Lytechinus pictus: one gene and its partner. The protein of the gene in region 2 interacts with the protein of the main gene of each other region in a pairwise test. Links are inferred from orthologs where the notes say so. Each region holds a gene or a part of one and is shown on either strand. Other genes may lie near its edges.

Region 1 (6,981 bases), on a different chromosome or scaffold from region 2:
TTGAATTTTGTGAACAGAATTTTACACATCTAAAACATCTGGTCATGTGACTCATTAATATTAATGAGTATGTAAATAGCTGCCAATGTTATGTACCTGTGTATAGAGTTAATCAGATGACAATAAAATCAAATTATGTCATCACAAATAGTCAAAATACATTGCTATATTACACAGTGAGTGAATAAATATTGATAAAAATATGTTAGGAAATAATTTAGGCTCTGATTTTGTTTGAGAAATAAAAAAGTAAAATTCTAGCTAACTTTTTGAATTACTTACTACTTTCTCAACCTTATTTTTTTGTACATAATAGGTGCATATCTCAAATTTTCATTTCACAGGATGTTGACTATAGCAATGCTTTGCTATTGGCCTGTTGGGACATGGGCACTGATAAGGTCCTACTAAAATGTGTCAATATTTTCGTGCGTTGATAAATTCGCGGCCGATCCGCAATTCGCGAAATCTACGAAAATAGTATCTTTCATGAATGATATCACACTGAAATCAAATTGTGAAAAATGACCCAACACATTTTCATAGTCTTTTGATAAGGAATTTATCTTCTTGGGAACAGAAAAGTTTGCAGAACTGTTTTCTATTTAAAAACAAAAATTGCCCATATATGCTCTGAATTGTGTTTGAGTTGAATTAATTTTCCATAAACATAACATACTTTTCTAATAAAATATTTTTTATCAGAGATAAAGTGTCTCAAATGCTAGACTATGCCATTCTCCTACCTGGCGCCGTGCGATGCATTCATTCAATATTCATCATTTAAAAGCAAAATGGGTTTGAGCTGGTGAGTGGTGAGCATCAAGTATCATCTCCCCTCGTTCATCCGCAAATCTATATTATAAGCAAATCATCAATTATTATATGGAAGAGGAATTGATTGTGTGTTACAGTGGTTAGACATGAATACTACAATAGAACTGATATTCAATTCAGAAAGTTGTCTCCATTTGAAAATTGCTTCTCAACGGGATGCTGTGACATCTGTTTGAAGCTAGCAGAGCATCTGTTTGGGAATGTATGGATCTTGCGATACAGCCAATACATGTACAGTGTATATGTGATTTTGAGCAATTTGGATATCGCATTAAAATCCAGAGTTTCTGATCAAGGATAGGAATTTGTACTTTGGGTCATCATTGATCATCCTTTCAGTGCAGTTCTCTTTACATCAATTTTTTTCGAAAAATAAATATTTCACTTTCACAATATTTGGATTAATTTCTTTTACTTCTGTTTCTCGGTGTGTATCATAAATATTAGGTGAGTGAAGTTGAATATATGTTTTATTTACTCACCTTGGTTTATCATTTTGATGATTCCTTCTGTCCTTTCTTCCCCTTCATTTATTCATTGACTGACGGACGGACAGACTCATTCAGTCATTCATTTCACCATTACAGAAACATCAATAACATTGACCTGACAATTTGACAAGTAAATTTTAAAAACCATCTCATCTCAGCCCTCATGCACTGCTGTGTGACATACACTGTCCATTTTCACTAAAAATAACAATGTCATTTTCAACTTAATTTTGAATTTGCTAATTGTTAAGAATTTTCATTTTTTTTCTTTTTTATCCCCTTCCACAGGGTTCTTTATTTTCAAAAAGCATAATTACACTGTATAAACATTTCAAATTTTTTTTCAGAAAAACAGTAAATAAACATGGTATATACACAATTCCTAATAAATAGCCATTCAGTCAACCTGACCTATTATACAATCAATAAGTTGTGACAGCCAAAGCAAATTTGGCAAGAAAAATAAGAGATATGATACATATATCTAAGAAATAAACATTGGTAATAATTATGTTTGTTAAACTTAAAGGTGACAGATTGCCAGCTTGTTCGAAAAAGTTTCTGAAACGTCCATGATTTTATACAATTGTACACTGTATGTGGTGTACAATATGTATTTGTAAACAACTGAATATATCAAATGACCCTATTAGGCCTGGTTATTAATGGTCATAAAGAATGCAAATGGTATTACCTTACAAGTGAATGGTACTTAATAATGCAGAATGAAAATGAAAATAGGACAACTTAATTTATGTGACCTATTTTCTACTGGATTATGAATGTGTACGCCCTATAAAAACAGTTATGATTTGGACTACAAATTTTTGCAATTTTTCATGAATATACACTCGGCAAAAAAAGTTCTTGGACACTTAGAAAACTTTAAAATTTTCATATAGATATTTGATTAAAGGCAAATTATTGTATGTCAACATGACCAGACAATATTCCTCTTCCAGTATGACATGACATTTTCATGTTAACAGTCATGCATGGGCGGTTAAATGCTTTAAACAATAGCAATGTCAGTAAAAGAAAATTGCAAGAAATGGATCAGTCAGTGCATGGCTGGTTACAGGCATTAAACAATAGCAATGTCAGTAAAAGAAAATTGCAATAAAACAATCAGTCATTCTTTCAATTGTGAAAGGTTATGTGGCATAAATATCCATTAAATTATAAAAGCAAACTTAAAGTCAAATACCACTCTAAAAGAGAAGAGAAAGTTATCCACCTTGGATGCATCACTATTCCACTGGAATTTTAAGTCAAAGTTAGTCGATGAAAAAAATGTCAAATTTCAGTATCTTGGCATAAGCAAAAGAAAATTCAATATCTCGTTTGTCCACACTGGCTCTGAATGAGTGCAGCACATTGACGTCGCATGCTTGTCACAAGTCGACGAATTTGCTCTGGGGTGATTTTGTCCCATTCTTCCAGGAGATAACACCGGACATCTTGAAGAGGGTCTCCTGGTTGAATTCTTTGATTGACCGATTTTCCTAGCTGATCCCACAAGTGTTCAATCTGGTTCATGTCTGGTGAACAAGCGGGCCATGGATCCAAGCGCTGAACATTGTGGTCATCCAGAAATCTTTGGACAATGTTTGCTCGATGGGGACAACCCCCTGTTGAAATTGTTGAATGTATGCCTACAGGATGGCCATGATCATTAGCTTTTGAATGGTCCATTTCTTGCAATTTTCTTTTACTGACACTTCTATTGTTTAAAGCATTTAACCGCCCATGCATGACTGTTAACATGAAAATGTCATGTCATACTGGAAGAGGAATATTGTCTGGTCATGTTGACATACAATAATTTGCCTTTAATCAAATATTTATATGAAATATTTTAAGTTTTCTAAGTGTCCGAGAACTTTTTTTGCTGAGTGTTTATTTTAATCCGTACTTGGTGACATCTGATCATGCATTTTCTTTTTAAAAAGAATTCTATATATCATAGAATAGGCTGAAATTTCAGGAGATGATTATCTATAGATTTCTGATAAGCGCTCACTATCAATTTTATTAAAGATAAATGCAAGAGCCTGTTGAAAAGGAAATAGAAATATTGTCAAAAGAGGGTGTAGAACTATGAAACAATGTCAAATTTTAATTCTAATGGTTGAAAAATCAATTTATGTCCACCTCACTTTATTAGGAATGTTAGATGATACTAGAGTATATATTAACCCTTTATCAAAGCTTTAGCTAAGCTTTCAATGATGAATACATTTTTATGCATGAAAATACTGGTCTTTTCCCAGATACATGTCTACTGCAGCTGCCATAAAAAGATGGATGAACTTTTCAAAAGCAAATGAGATAGAAACCTGAAAAAGCCATAAATTGCTTATTATATAATCGAATTCCCAAATTCATGGGGAAATTAAAATGATAATAAATGTTCTGTGTAAAGTCTAGGATGTGACCTGCATATCATGACATGTAATGGTAAAATTTACCCTTTTTACTCTACATGTGCATGCCATGCCCCCTGAAGTTGTTTCAATTACATGTACATGCTAATTTAAATGTATGTCTCTGAATCCTTTTTTCTTTTTACAGATTCTGAGGCTTAAAAACAAACATTCCTGAAGTTGGGAATATTCCATGTAGTACAACTTGATGAAGTGTTGAGTTTGAAAGACTGTCTGCCGTCATGGCCTACCTCCTGAAGAGGTTTAGTGACTTTCTTGGAATATCCGACCCTGAATATGTGAGAGCGCCCCCACTGGATGGAGAAATAATCTTCTGCAAGAACAATGTGTGCGTGCATCCGCCATCCGTGCTGTCAACCACCGTGGAGCACCATCCAGGATACCTTACAATCCGTGCCCAGAGGGTCTCTGAAAGACAGACATCCCTTGTGCTCACATGGATCCCAAACACATCCTTGAACCAGAGGAAACGCTCCAGCTGCAGCACCAGCAGTCCCGCCAGAGTGACCTATGTGGATATCCGCAAGCAAATTGCTTTGAGGAATGAAGCCCAGTTGGACAATGTCAGTGGTGATAGCCTGAGTATATTGTCAAAAGAGGAGGAGGCTGTGAGGGAGAATGCCTGTAAAGAAAAGACAAAGGAGTCTTGTCGGAATGAGAGCCCTCAAGGATCGATTCAAAGCTTCCAGGACTCTGGGATTGGAGAGGGAGAACGTCAAAAAATGGGTAAAGACAGTGGTGTTGATGGTGCATCAGGGAATGAAGCTTGTAATAAAAATGATGCGGATAACAAGACAGTTGAAGGCCACAAAGATGAGGTTTCATCTGAAAGTGATGAGCTGTCAACAGAACAGAGACTTGCAGCTCTGCTGAACAGTCCAGGGGATAACCATAGCCCAGTGGGTCGGCCAATTAAATTGGAGCTCCAGACCAAGATGAAGGTTCACCCACCTAAAGATGATGAAGACAAGGACAGTGTCAGTAGTTCCGATTCAGATGACTCCGAGACCTTCAACAACATCCTGGAACGCCTCTCCAACGACGTCCTTCCAAGGCAGATGTCCCGTCGCTCCAGTTCTACAACTCCAACCACCTCCAACCAGGACCCATCCTCCTTGCCTTCCACCCCTAGCCCTGATGAGAGCTTTGATCCCTTTGTCCCGCTCTACAGCCTCCATAGCAGTTCAACCTGCAGCCCCGAGATCCACCCATCTCCGATCGCCACCCACAACCTGACCTTCCCTGAGAACTCTGTGTGCTACCGTGGCAAGGTCATCTGTCCTGGTTCCCCTGCCAGTGCTCCAGCCAGGGACCAAGTCTGTGGAGTGTTTTCAGTTGACCTGTGCCAGATGAGGTCCTTGAGAATCTTCTTTGCGGATGAGGAGTGTACCAACGGACAGATGGTCATCGCGAGTCGAGAGAGTCAGTACAAGATACTGCACTTTCATCATGGTGGTCTGGATAAGATGACCGAAGTCTTTGATCATTGGAAGAACTGCATCAAACTTTACAATCAGGTTAGTGAGAAAAAAAAATTCATTCAGTTTCAAGTTCTTGATTTGAAAGTTAGTCAATGTACAGTCAAAGTTTAGATAACAATTCCCATCCCCCCAGAAATTTTTAGTAAATAAGATTGGAGGGAAACCATGAACTGAATTGTAAAAGTGCAATTTTATGAAGACAAATATTGGTTCAATGCTTCGTGTCCTTTAATTTCATACTCATATTTAATAATATGCTGAGCACTATCAAACTAGCACTTTGTCATTTTAGGAAGTTTCCCTCACATACAATACATGTGCAATTTGGTGGATTCATAATATGGTGCGCCATCTATCAGTTGCAGCCGACAGTCCAAAATTCGCAATACCTAATGGGAAAAAGTCAACATCTGTTGCGTGCTATTGCTAGTGTATGCATGTGATTATGCTGTTTACTAGGGTTCAGGAGGAGGGAGAGAAATTTGCTGCATATTTCTTTGCTAAAATTAAAACCGTTTTTGGTGAATTCTTCCTTCACTGTTGCCAAATCATTTTCATTTTTGAAGCATCACACACTGTGCGCTGTCTGCGCCTGCGCGCGATGTTGACCCCGAAGTTAGAAATTTGGCCTGTCCGCTGCAACGGATAGATGGCGCACCATATTGTGAATCCACCGAATTAATTAAACTGTATAATCCAGTAATACTGGGTAGTTGTTTTTTACATTTCACTATAGGTTCACAAAATGCATATCGCATTACTCCACCTCTGCTATATGTGCTGCTCATGGTGTAAACTTGAGATCTATAAAAGCATTTTTTTTAAGTACTGTATTTGCTGTCGAAATGCCAGGGCTAAGGCACCTCATATTGGCTGGTTATTAATTCATTACAACCAATCATGTGCATAGATACAGTGTAGGTAGAGAGCTGTGAAGTGAGTCCCAGTCTGCCCTCTGCTCATTACCACGCTACAAAGGCCTAAGTTCTCGCTATTGGATTTCCAATTTCCTATCTGATCGAACATCACCTTTTTTTTCTACTAATATCTTTATCCACATTCCTCTGTATGTATGTCTCTTTCCATCTCTTTTTTTTTCTTCTCTTGTTCTGTATTTCTTTCCCTATTGTGAATCAAAGCTACGGTACATGCCATTTTCTCTCCATCACTATTCGCTTCCTTTCTATCGCTTTCCCTTGTATCTGACACTTTCTGTTTCTAGATATTTCTTTTACTTTTAATGTGTGTGTGTTACATTTATGTGTGTATGTTTCTCTCTCTCTCTCTCTCTTGTCCTTTTGTGGTATTGTGCTCTTTCTATATTCCTTTCATCCTTCCTACATTCCTTACTCTCTTTCTCACCCCTGTCCCCTTTTTCTTTCTCTACCACCCCCTTCCTCTCCTCCAGCTCTCTACTCTGTAAATCACTCTCCTATATCCTTCCCTCTTCCCTCTCAGTCTCTTCCCCTCTCTTACCTATTGCCACCATATCTTGTATAGCCTTCTTTTCTCCATCTGCACGTATGCCATTGCCATGCTAATACCACACTCATCTCTTTTAGAGGTGTTTGACTGTGTGGAAGTGGTTCATATGTACACCTACTATGCATGCTAATAACATCATTAAATCTTAATTTAGACAGCCAATTAATTGATCTCTACAATGTGGATTTTATATTAATTAATGTCTATTGCTCAATCCGAATCTGCATTATTCACCGCAGT
Region 2 (7,987 bases):
TGGCGGCGAAAGTCAAAAAAATTAGGGGGGGGGTCCACCTGAAATTTTGTGATGGACACAGGTAAAAAAGTTGACAAGCAAAAAAAAGGTTATCAACAAAAAAATTAGGGGGGCCGTCCCCCCCACCTCAAATTTAGGGGGGACAGGACCCCCGTCCCCCCCCCCCCCCCCCCGCGCTTCCGCCGCCTATGGTTACTATTAACAGCGACGAGACCCATGATGTCACCCCAACCGTCTTCTGAAAAAAAATGTTCAGTTATTCAATAGTGTATTTATAGCCGACAAAGTAGCACGTACTTTCGGTGTCGCTTTCGGGGGGCGCTGAACAAAGAAAAAACAAAAGGGGAAAGAAAGAGAAATAAGGAGGGAAATTAAGAAATAATCAAAAGTTGAATGTAGTGAACAACCGAAGAAGTCTCATGTGCCAAAACTAATTAAAAAAATGAAAAATATAAAAACACACTAGATAAAGTCGCGATTAAAGTGGTACTCCGGGTTGAAAGTGTATATTTAAACAGATGACGAAAACTTAGACAAACTAAGCACTGAAGATTTCATCAAAATCGGACGAGGAATAACAAAATTATGACAATTTGAAGATCTGCATTAGTATATATAAATGAGCAAATTGATAATGTCATATATATCCTAACTTGATCTCATGTTCTTTTGTACTATTTGAAATGATTTGTCCTGCAAGAATGACAAAAAATTGGATTGACAATTGATTCAATGCATTGGATAAAAAAAATGTTTAAAGGTGCAGGATTTCAGTCTTTCTCCGGGCTTCTATGCATTTATGTGGTAAATCCATAGAAATACAAGTTTATTCTAACTAGGGGTTATGAATTATCCGAATGGATAAAGCTCCAAGAACCTTTAACGTGTCTGTCGATAGAGGTCAGTATGCAAGAAATCTTGGGTGGTTCGTGATCATGGCCCACTTCTCTCTATGATTACCCTGTTACTGATCGGAAACTAGACTCAACTTCAACAACAGACTTTAAAAAAACTTTAAAAACATCAGCAAGTAATAATGTCTAAACGATTTCAACTTAATATTTTCGGTGTAATTCTAAATAGGATGAAGACATGGGTAATCATGGTAACGCAGCAATACATTTCTTTGCATTTTTGCCAATACCTCGTGGGTCATTCGTATTTGTAAGAGCATCTTTGTTCAATTTCAATAATTGATTAGAATGAAGGTCTTTTTGCATAGCTTGCCTACATTCATGAATTATTTTACTGTTTCATTTTTAAGCAATGTCTTTATAGAGCTAAACTGGTTTAGTGTTTTAGTTAAACAATGAAAGGGGTATTACTCTAGGTTGAAGATCATTATATCTAAATAAAAGGGATAAATAAATGAGCAAAGTGCAAAAAAAAAATCATCGAAATCCGAAGAAAGACAATGTAGTCATTGAATATTGAAATATGTGGTCATAATTCATCAGGCGGTCTGATGATACCATGTCTCCATTTCCCCTTTTGTTATTTCATATTCTCACAAATAAGTGTAAAACATATATACATTTCAGTAATAAGCTAACATAATTATTCAATAGTCAAACTTGTTTCATGGAGGGTAGCCTAAACTTTGATTAATTATAATTTCGAATATCATGATACAAAGATGAATGATATAGGGCCTAGGGTTTTGACATCCCTCATTGCATATTCACGTTGACATGCACATGATGTAATTATTTTGCCCAAATTAGGCTCTAAAACAAACATGCGCAACCAAGGTTTAAGAGTCATGCTGAACTTAAGTGAAATAAACAAAAAAAATGTATCGAAATGGAAGTCTAAAGCTTCAAATTCAAGAACCTAAATTAAAATAGTGTTAGATAATTGACATGTAAAACAATTCAATCCAGTCAGCAGTTTCCCAAACTTGTATAAGGGGACCGAGGAACAGTTTTGAAGGGGCCGGGTGCTGAGCCATAAGATGGAGTAGAGGGTACTATATAGGGAATGGCCATACAAGAAAAAAAAACGATATTATCGATAGTATTTTACGTTTTATTCACGTTTATTGAAAAAAAAGTTCCATGCCCCTGCCAGAACAGCCATGCAACTCATAAATCAAGTCACCACACAGGTCATTGGTCTCATCGTTGTCAATCTATAGCTATACCTTCATGTACATATCCAGCAACCCAAAAGCTTATATTTTTTATGAATTATTTTTATTTTATTTCAAAATTATAATATTAAGAATTTATCGATAGTATTTCCATGATCTTCTCTTATAAATCTTAATAGTTGTATTCTAATAATTTACAGGATTCAAGATTTGTTCTTTACGTATGTGATACAACCATACAAAAAATGGTGAATTGATTTTAGGTTGTACGGCTTTTCAATGTTTATATTTAATTGAAAATATTATTACGCATGTGTATAAATGTAAGATAAAAAAATATATTCCTTGGAAAACAAATGATTATGAAATCAATCTTGTTTGGAAAAAAAATGTATATCAGGTATTTTGAGAACAAATTGAATTGATATAGAATTTATTCTTGACATTGTTTTACTTCATTTTCGTTAAGAATTGTCAAAAGTATGGATGTGTTGATCACAATTATTGTAAGTTCAAACCAAGCTTTGTAATTATGGTCAATTTGATTTAATACCGTATTGAATTAATGATCATGAATGTAATATTTTACTATGTTAAAATTTGTTTGATGAGAGAAGAGAATAAAATATTATTTTAAAAAGAGGGGACTTAGGAGTAATATCTACAATTATTATTTTTATTTCAAAATATAGAAAGACTACATCGTATATCAAATGCAAAATTTATTTCGGAATTTCAAGTAAAACTCAAAATATCAGCAAATTAAAAAGAGCATAATAAAGAAAAATCGTAAAAATTACCACTTAGTCCCTTCTTGCGGGAAGCTGACGTGGGTGAATGGAAATGTGTAGTCCTAAGTTGTTTTGGGTTTTCTTTTTTCCACGGGCATCTATATATAATATACAGTGCGTATTAAAAAAAACGGGACAGTTTTGAAAAGTCTATAAAAAATTTGTTTCAATTTATGACATCTATGTTTTAATGTTAATAGATGCTCTGAAATCTTATCTTTAAAATGCCATTCAAAAAACAAATTTTGTTCATGCTTGAGCGAACACGGGACGTTTTTGTAAGGGGTTCAAAAAGAGGCTTGCGCCAAAATGGCAGAAATGAGATATTTGATTATCAGACATCTTGCTAATCAGCAGACTTCCTCTTAACCTTTTCATTTTCTTTGCCACGATTTTCGAATTGTGCTGTCAAATTTCATTTACAAATTCATTTATTTACTTGAATTATTTTTTTTTCATTTAAACTTGTTTTACCTTTGAATTTTCCTTCATAAGTAAGAAAAGAAGACTTTTTGTCAACCCAAGCAAGAAGATTATTTGGGAAAACTTGTAATTATTCATATCATTTTATTATGTGAAACGAATTATGTTCTGGCACCTTTGAAAAAACATGAATCCTATTTTCAGGGGGTTATTGATTCCTTGACCAAGTTTAATTATGTGATTGACAGGACCATATATAGGTCCATTACAGGACAAACAGGTAAGGATTCATGTCTTTCAATAGCAACGATGTATTGAGTCAATTTTGAAGGAGCTAGATATGGCAGATCGGATAAAATGTATCAAAAAGTTGTGAGCGAGCGAAGCGGGCAAGCAAAAATTTCCACTTTTTTATTAAAATATCAAATTTTGTGATAGATTTTGACATAATATTCAAAAAATAATCATGGTTCACTTTTTATCTTCCCTTTTATTTCCTTTCCATTTTTTTTTTTATTGAAGGGGGGCACCCCCGAGCCCCCGCCAATCTGCATGCCACTGTTCAAAGGCACCATAACCTTTGTAGTACACAACGAAAGGATTTTTAAAAAAATACATGCTCTCCCATACTTCGGTTGAAATTTTTTTTTTTGCTTAAAGAAGGAATATTCAAAGCTAAAAGAGAACGTATTGAAATGTAACAGGAACAGAACAATTGAGGCAAATAAACAAATTTGAAAATGAATTTTGACCGCATAATTCGAAAATTATGGCAAAGATAATGAAAAGGTTAAAAATCTATTGATTAGCAAGAAGTCCGATCATCGGCATGTTATGCCATTTTGGCGCAAGCCTCCTTTTTAACCCCAGACAAAAACATTCCGTGTTTGCTCAAGCATGAACGAAACTAATTTTTTAATGGCATTTGAAAGATAAGACTTCAGAGCACCTATTAACACTAAAATATAGACATCATAATTTGAAACAAAAATTTTATAGACTTTTCAAATCTGTCCCGTTTTTTTTAAAACGCACTGTATACACGTACTATTCTTATTTCAGGCGTACAGTACAGGTGACATAAAACAAATTTGCCTCGTATAACCATGTGCTTTGTATATGACTATTTGAATGTTTTGCACTGTTTTTTTATGCATTGGCTTTAAAATTATATCCACCTAATTTCGAACAGAAAACAAATAAAGATCAGATTAATTATCATTCAATATTTATAGCCAACATGTTCATGATCTGTGCGGGTATAAAACCTTACCCAAACAGCCAAATCATAATTTGTTTTCAATTCTCTTTATTATCCTTTTAATAAATAATGTAAACGCCAGGGGGTTTATTGCACCAAATCGGGCACCAAATACAATACTGTATTTCTAATAGACCACTATTGCTATTTGACAAGTTCATCATATGGAAATGTAAAATACTAGCATATGGTGACTTGACTTTAATTACCCAACTGGTTTCGCTCATTACGTTTTTCTTTGTTCTCTTTGTCGCCAGTCTCATGAGACCGAATGTCATAGTCTATTCCTACAGGAGAAGACGTTTTAGCGCTCAAAAATCTATAATTTGCAATTTTCGCATCGTGCAGAATGAATGTAAACAAACAACAAATTGGGATTTAATGATTGTGCGCAGGCGCAATGCACTATGTTCACGTTGAACCGTCTAGTGACGTCATAAACCGAACACAGCCTGGGAGTTGTATTCTGCACAGAAAATCACGATTTTTCCATCAAAATGTCGTACGCATATTTATTCAAATACATTATTATAGGAGATACAGGTAAGGTTGATCATTTTATTTTACTTGGTTGATTTTTAAACTAAAACACTTGTGTAATTGACGGTTTAAATGTCGAGCCCCACTGCATTTGTAAATTTCGTAGTTGAAATGAAGACGAGAAACGCATAACGTTATCGTTGCAATAGACATGCACATGATGCTAACCAAATTGGCAATGCATTGACATTGTGATCCATTGCCAATGCAAGATTGCAATGGCCAATGCCATGTAATCTGGATGCCTACCAAGTTGCATGGGTTTCCAACCCTTCTGTAAGTGTAATCATCATGTTTTACTTTTGGTAAAATTGATGGGTAGACAGCTGGCAGCCGTCTGTTCCGAGGAGTTTTTAAACATTTTTATTTATTTTTATTTCTCCTCGTACACAGACGGCTCGCTATCGTGCAGCCACCATTTAGGGACTTAACATTCCCGGAGGGGGGGGGGGGGGTACTCGACTAAAAAGTGGTAGGTATAGTGAGACCACTACCGGTACATATCGACCACCTCTTTTGAAACCGACCACCTTGCGCGCATTAAAATTATTGCGTATTACTATTACAAACGATACGCGTGGGAGAGTAGGCGCAGTGTCCATAGGAACGGTAAGAATCAATTTTACGAGAGAAAAAGAAGGGGGAAAAGGTGAAAATTTAGGAGAATCTATCAAAATTGTTTTGACTACAGACTAGACCCGAACCCGCCCCGTTTCCGAAACGGCTTTACCTTTAGAACAAATATCCGTCGTCAATCGTCGAATCATGTGCCGGAGCTCGCAGTGGAAGTAGTGAGACGATCATTTAGCATGTGGACTTCATAGAAATGATCTGGAAGAGTCAAAATATTTCGCCACCGCGACAAAAATCGGCCGTAACTTAGTGTATCGCGGGTGGTCGGTTTCAAAAGAAGGGTGCAAATGAGCAAATGTAAAACCGTCGTATTTGTTGTTCGCCGATATATACGCGAATTGAATCGGAGTTGCTGATCGAAACATGGGAATCTGATCTGCTCAATTTTCTGCACAAATGAAATGAAAACTAGGTTAATCTGATAAATATTTTCGCAGATTCGATGCTTAGAAAATTAGGTGGTCAGTAGAGGCGCACGGCCAATATTGGAGACTGTCTCCAATGTGGGAGATTATCTCCAATATCAGAGACTTTTGTAAAGAATTTAGGTATCCAATTTCAGAGACAGTCTCCAGTTTTGGGGTCCAATTTCCTTTGTTTACATTTGCTGCAAAAGGATTAACTTGGCGGCAAATAAAAATGTGATAAGCAGATTCCTCATGAAAAATTACCCCTTTTCACCGTCTACTTTAAAAATTCACCGTCTACTTTTGTTTTGATAAGGATTTTTGTTGTCAATCACACACAAAACAAATGGGCTTCTGACCTCAGTGAGACAAAATGTTGGGTGGAAAAAATCATGCTTTTGTTGGTGTTGTTTCTTTTGTCCTTTTGCAAAGCAAGTCTCCAATGTGGGAGATTGTCTCCCCTATTGGAGAGAGTCTCCCATATTGGCCGTGCGCCTCTACTGGTGGTCGATATGGTGTAGTTACAACCATATGTGCCGCGGGCGAGACAAATAACGGGGGCTCTGGAGCAGGCTTCTTGTAAAAAGGAGGGTCCTCGGAACGGGCTTTGGAGCTACAAATGTTTGTGAAAACAGGGATCCTTGGAACGGGTCGCCTGTGTGTGAGTGCGTATGCTTCCCAATGCCATGGAACGGGCTTACGTGCATGTACCTCGAGCGATGTTCGTGCAGGCTCCACTTCACTACCGCTACACATCGCTCCACCTGCCCGAACGAGTGTCAAAGGTGGGATTTTATGGGGGGAATATAAAATTCATGCAACATCACAATCTTTAAAAACAATTAAAACTAATATTCTTACTTTACACAAAGTCTCACTTCTTTCCCATGCTTCTATCAGTCTCAAAATTGGTGATTTAGAGCCAACATGAAGTTCCTCACACGTATAAATAATTCGCTGCCGATTTCAAAACATCGCATGCACAAGGGTCTCTGCATGCGCGAGGGTCCGAGACCCTCGCGCAATGAATAAAGGTGTGTAGTGAGCAGTTTTGTATAATCAGCATGTCGTTCCTTTATAAAGCAAAAATAAAAGAAATGTGATGCAATGATAAAATTATTATGCATTCTTTTACATTTTATTCCATTAACAGGTGTTGGTAAATCCTGCCTCCTTCTCCAGTTCACAGATAAACGATTCCAGCCAGTCCATGATCTCACAATAGGTATGTCAACTCTTTAATAAGAATGCATTTGCAGTCGGTTTATAAAGAATACTCAAGGAATGAAAAAAATCGGGGGGGGGGGGGGTTACAAATATATAATATAAGTCACACTGACATGTAAATTTCCAGTTATATGTGGTAGGTTTATACCATAATGCATCACCGCATTAGGGACACTCCATATTACTCAATGTGATTATGCATTAAAGCCTGTCCTTTAGCTTTGATAAAGTGTCAGTTGTTGAATGAATATTTTACCCAAGTTACAATTAAGATATGGCATTTTTATGGCCATTAGGATATGAATTGAAATCTAGCACCCCCCCCCCTTTCATTGGTAATGTTTTTATTTGAAATATCTGTTTGAGCACTTCATACATTTGATAATTGGATATTGGATAGCTTCTGACAAAAGATTGTATATATGGCGATGTGTCATGAGTTCGCTCACCAAAAAGGGTGGTGCTGTTAATACATATTTTGATTAATTTGTTGAGTTATTTTTTCAAACCAAAGTAGCTTTGCCAACAAGTTTGGTATCATTTTAAAGCTGGATCCATTGGCTAATAATGTAGAAAATTTCATTGCTCTAGGATAGATAAAACTTGAGTTATA

The links. The genes of interacting proteins can lie anywhere in the genome.
Region 1: the proteins of ras-related protein Rab-2A (region 2) and TBC1 domain family member 16-like interact in a two-hybrid assay, tested with the Drosophila melanogaster proteins (2 studies listed by BioGRID). The link is inferred for Lytechinus pictus from reciprocal best matches to the Drosophila melanogaster genes Rab2 and TBC1D16.

The regions. Positions count from the first base shown.
Region 1 is NC_087254.1:28,667,123-28,674,103, reverse strand, and holds the start of TBC1 domain family member 16-like, read left to right. Parts: upstream 1-3,902; 5' UTR 3,903-3,996; coding exon 3,997-5,292; intron 5,293-6,981.
Region 2 is NC_087246.1:65,086,571-65,094,557, reverse strand, and holds the start of ras-related protein Rab-2A, read left to right. Parts: upstream 1-4,981; 5' UTR 4,982-5,064; coding exon 5,065-5,110; intron 5,111-7,300; coding exon 7,301-7,372; intron 7,373-7,987. UniProt on the Drosophila melanogaster protein: May be involved in bidirectional endoplasmic reticulum (ER) to Golgi trafficking. Together with Rab7 involved in promoting fusion of autophagosomes and endosomes with lysosomes, probably through recruitment of the HOPS tethering complex.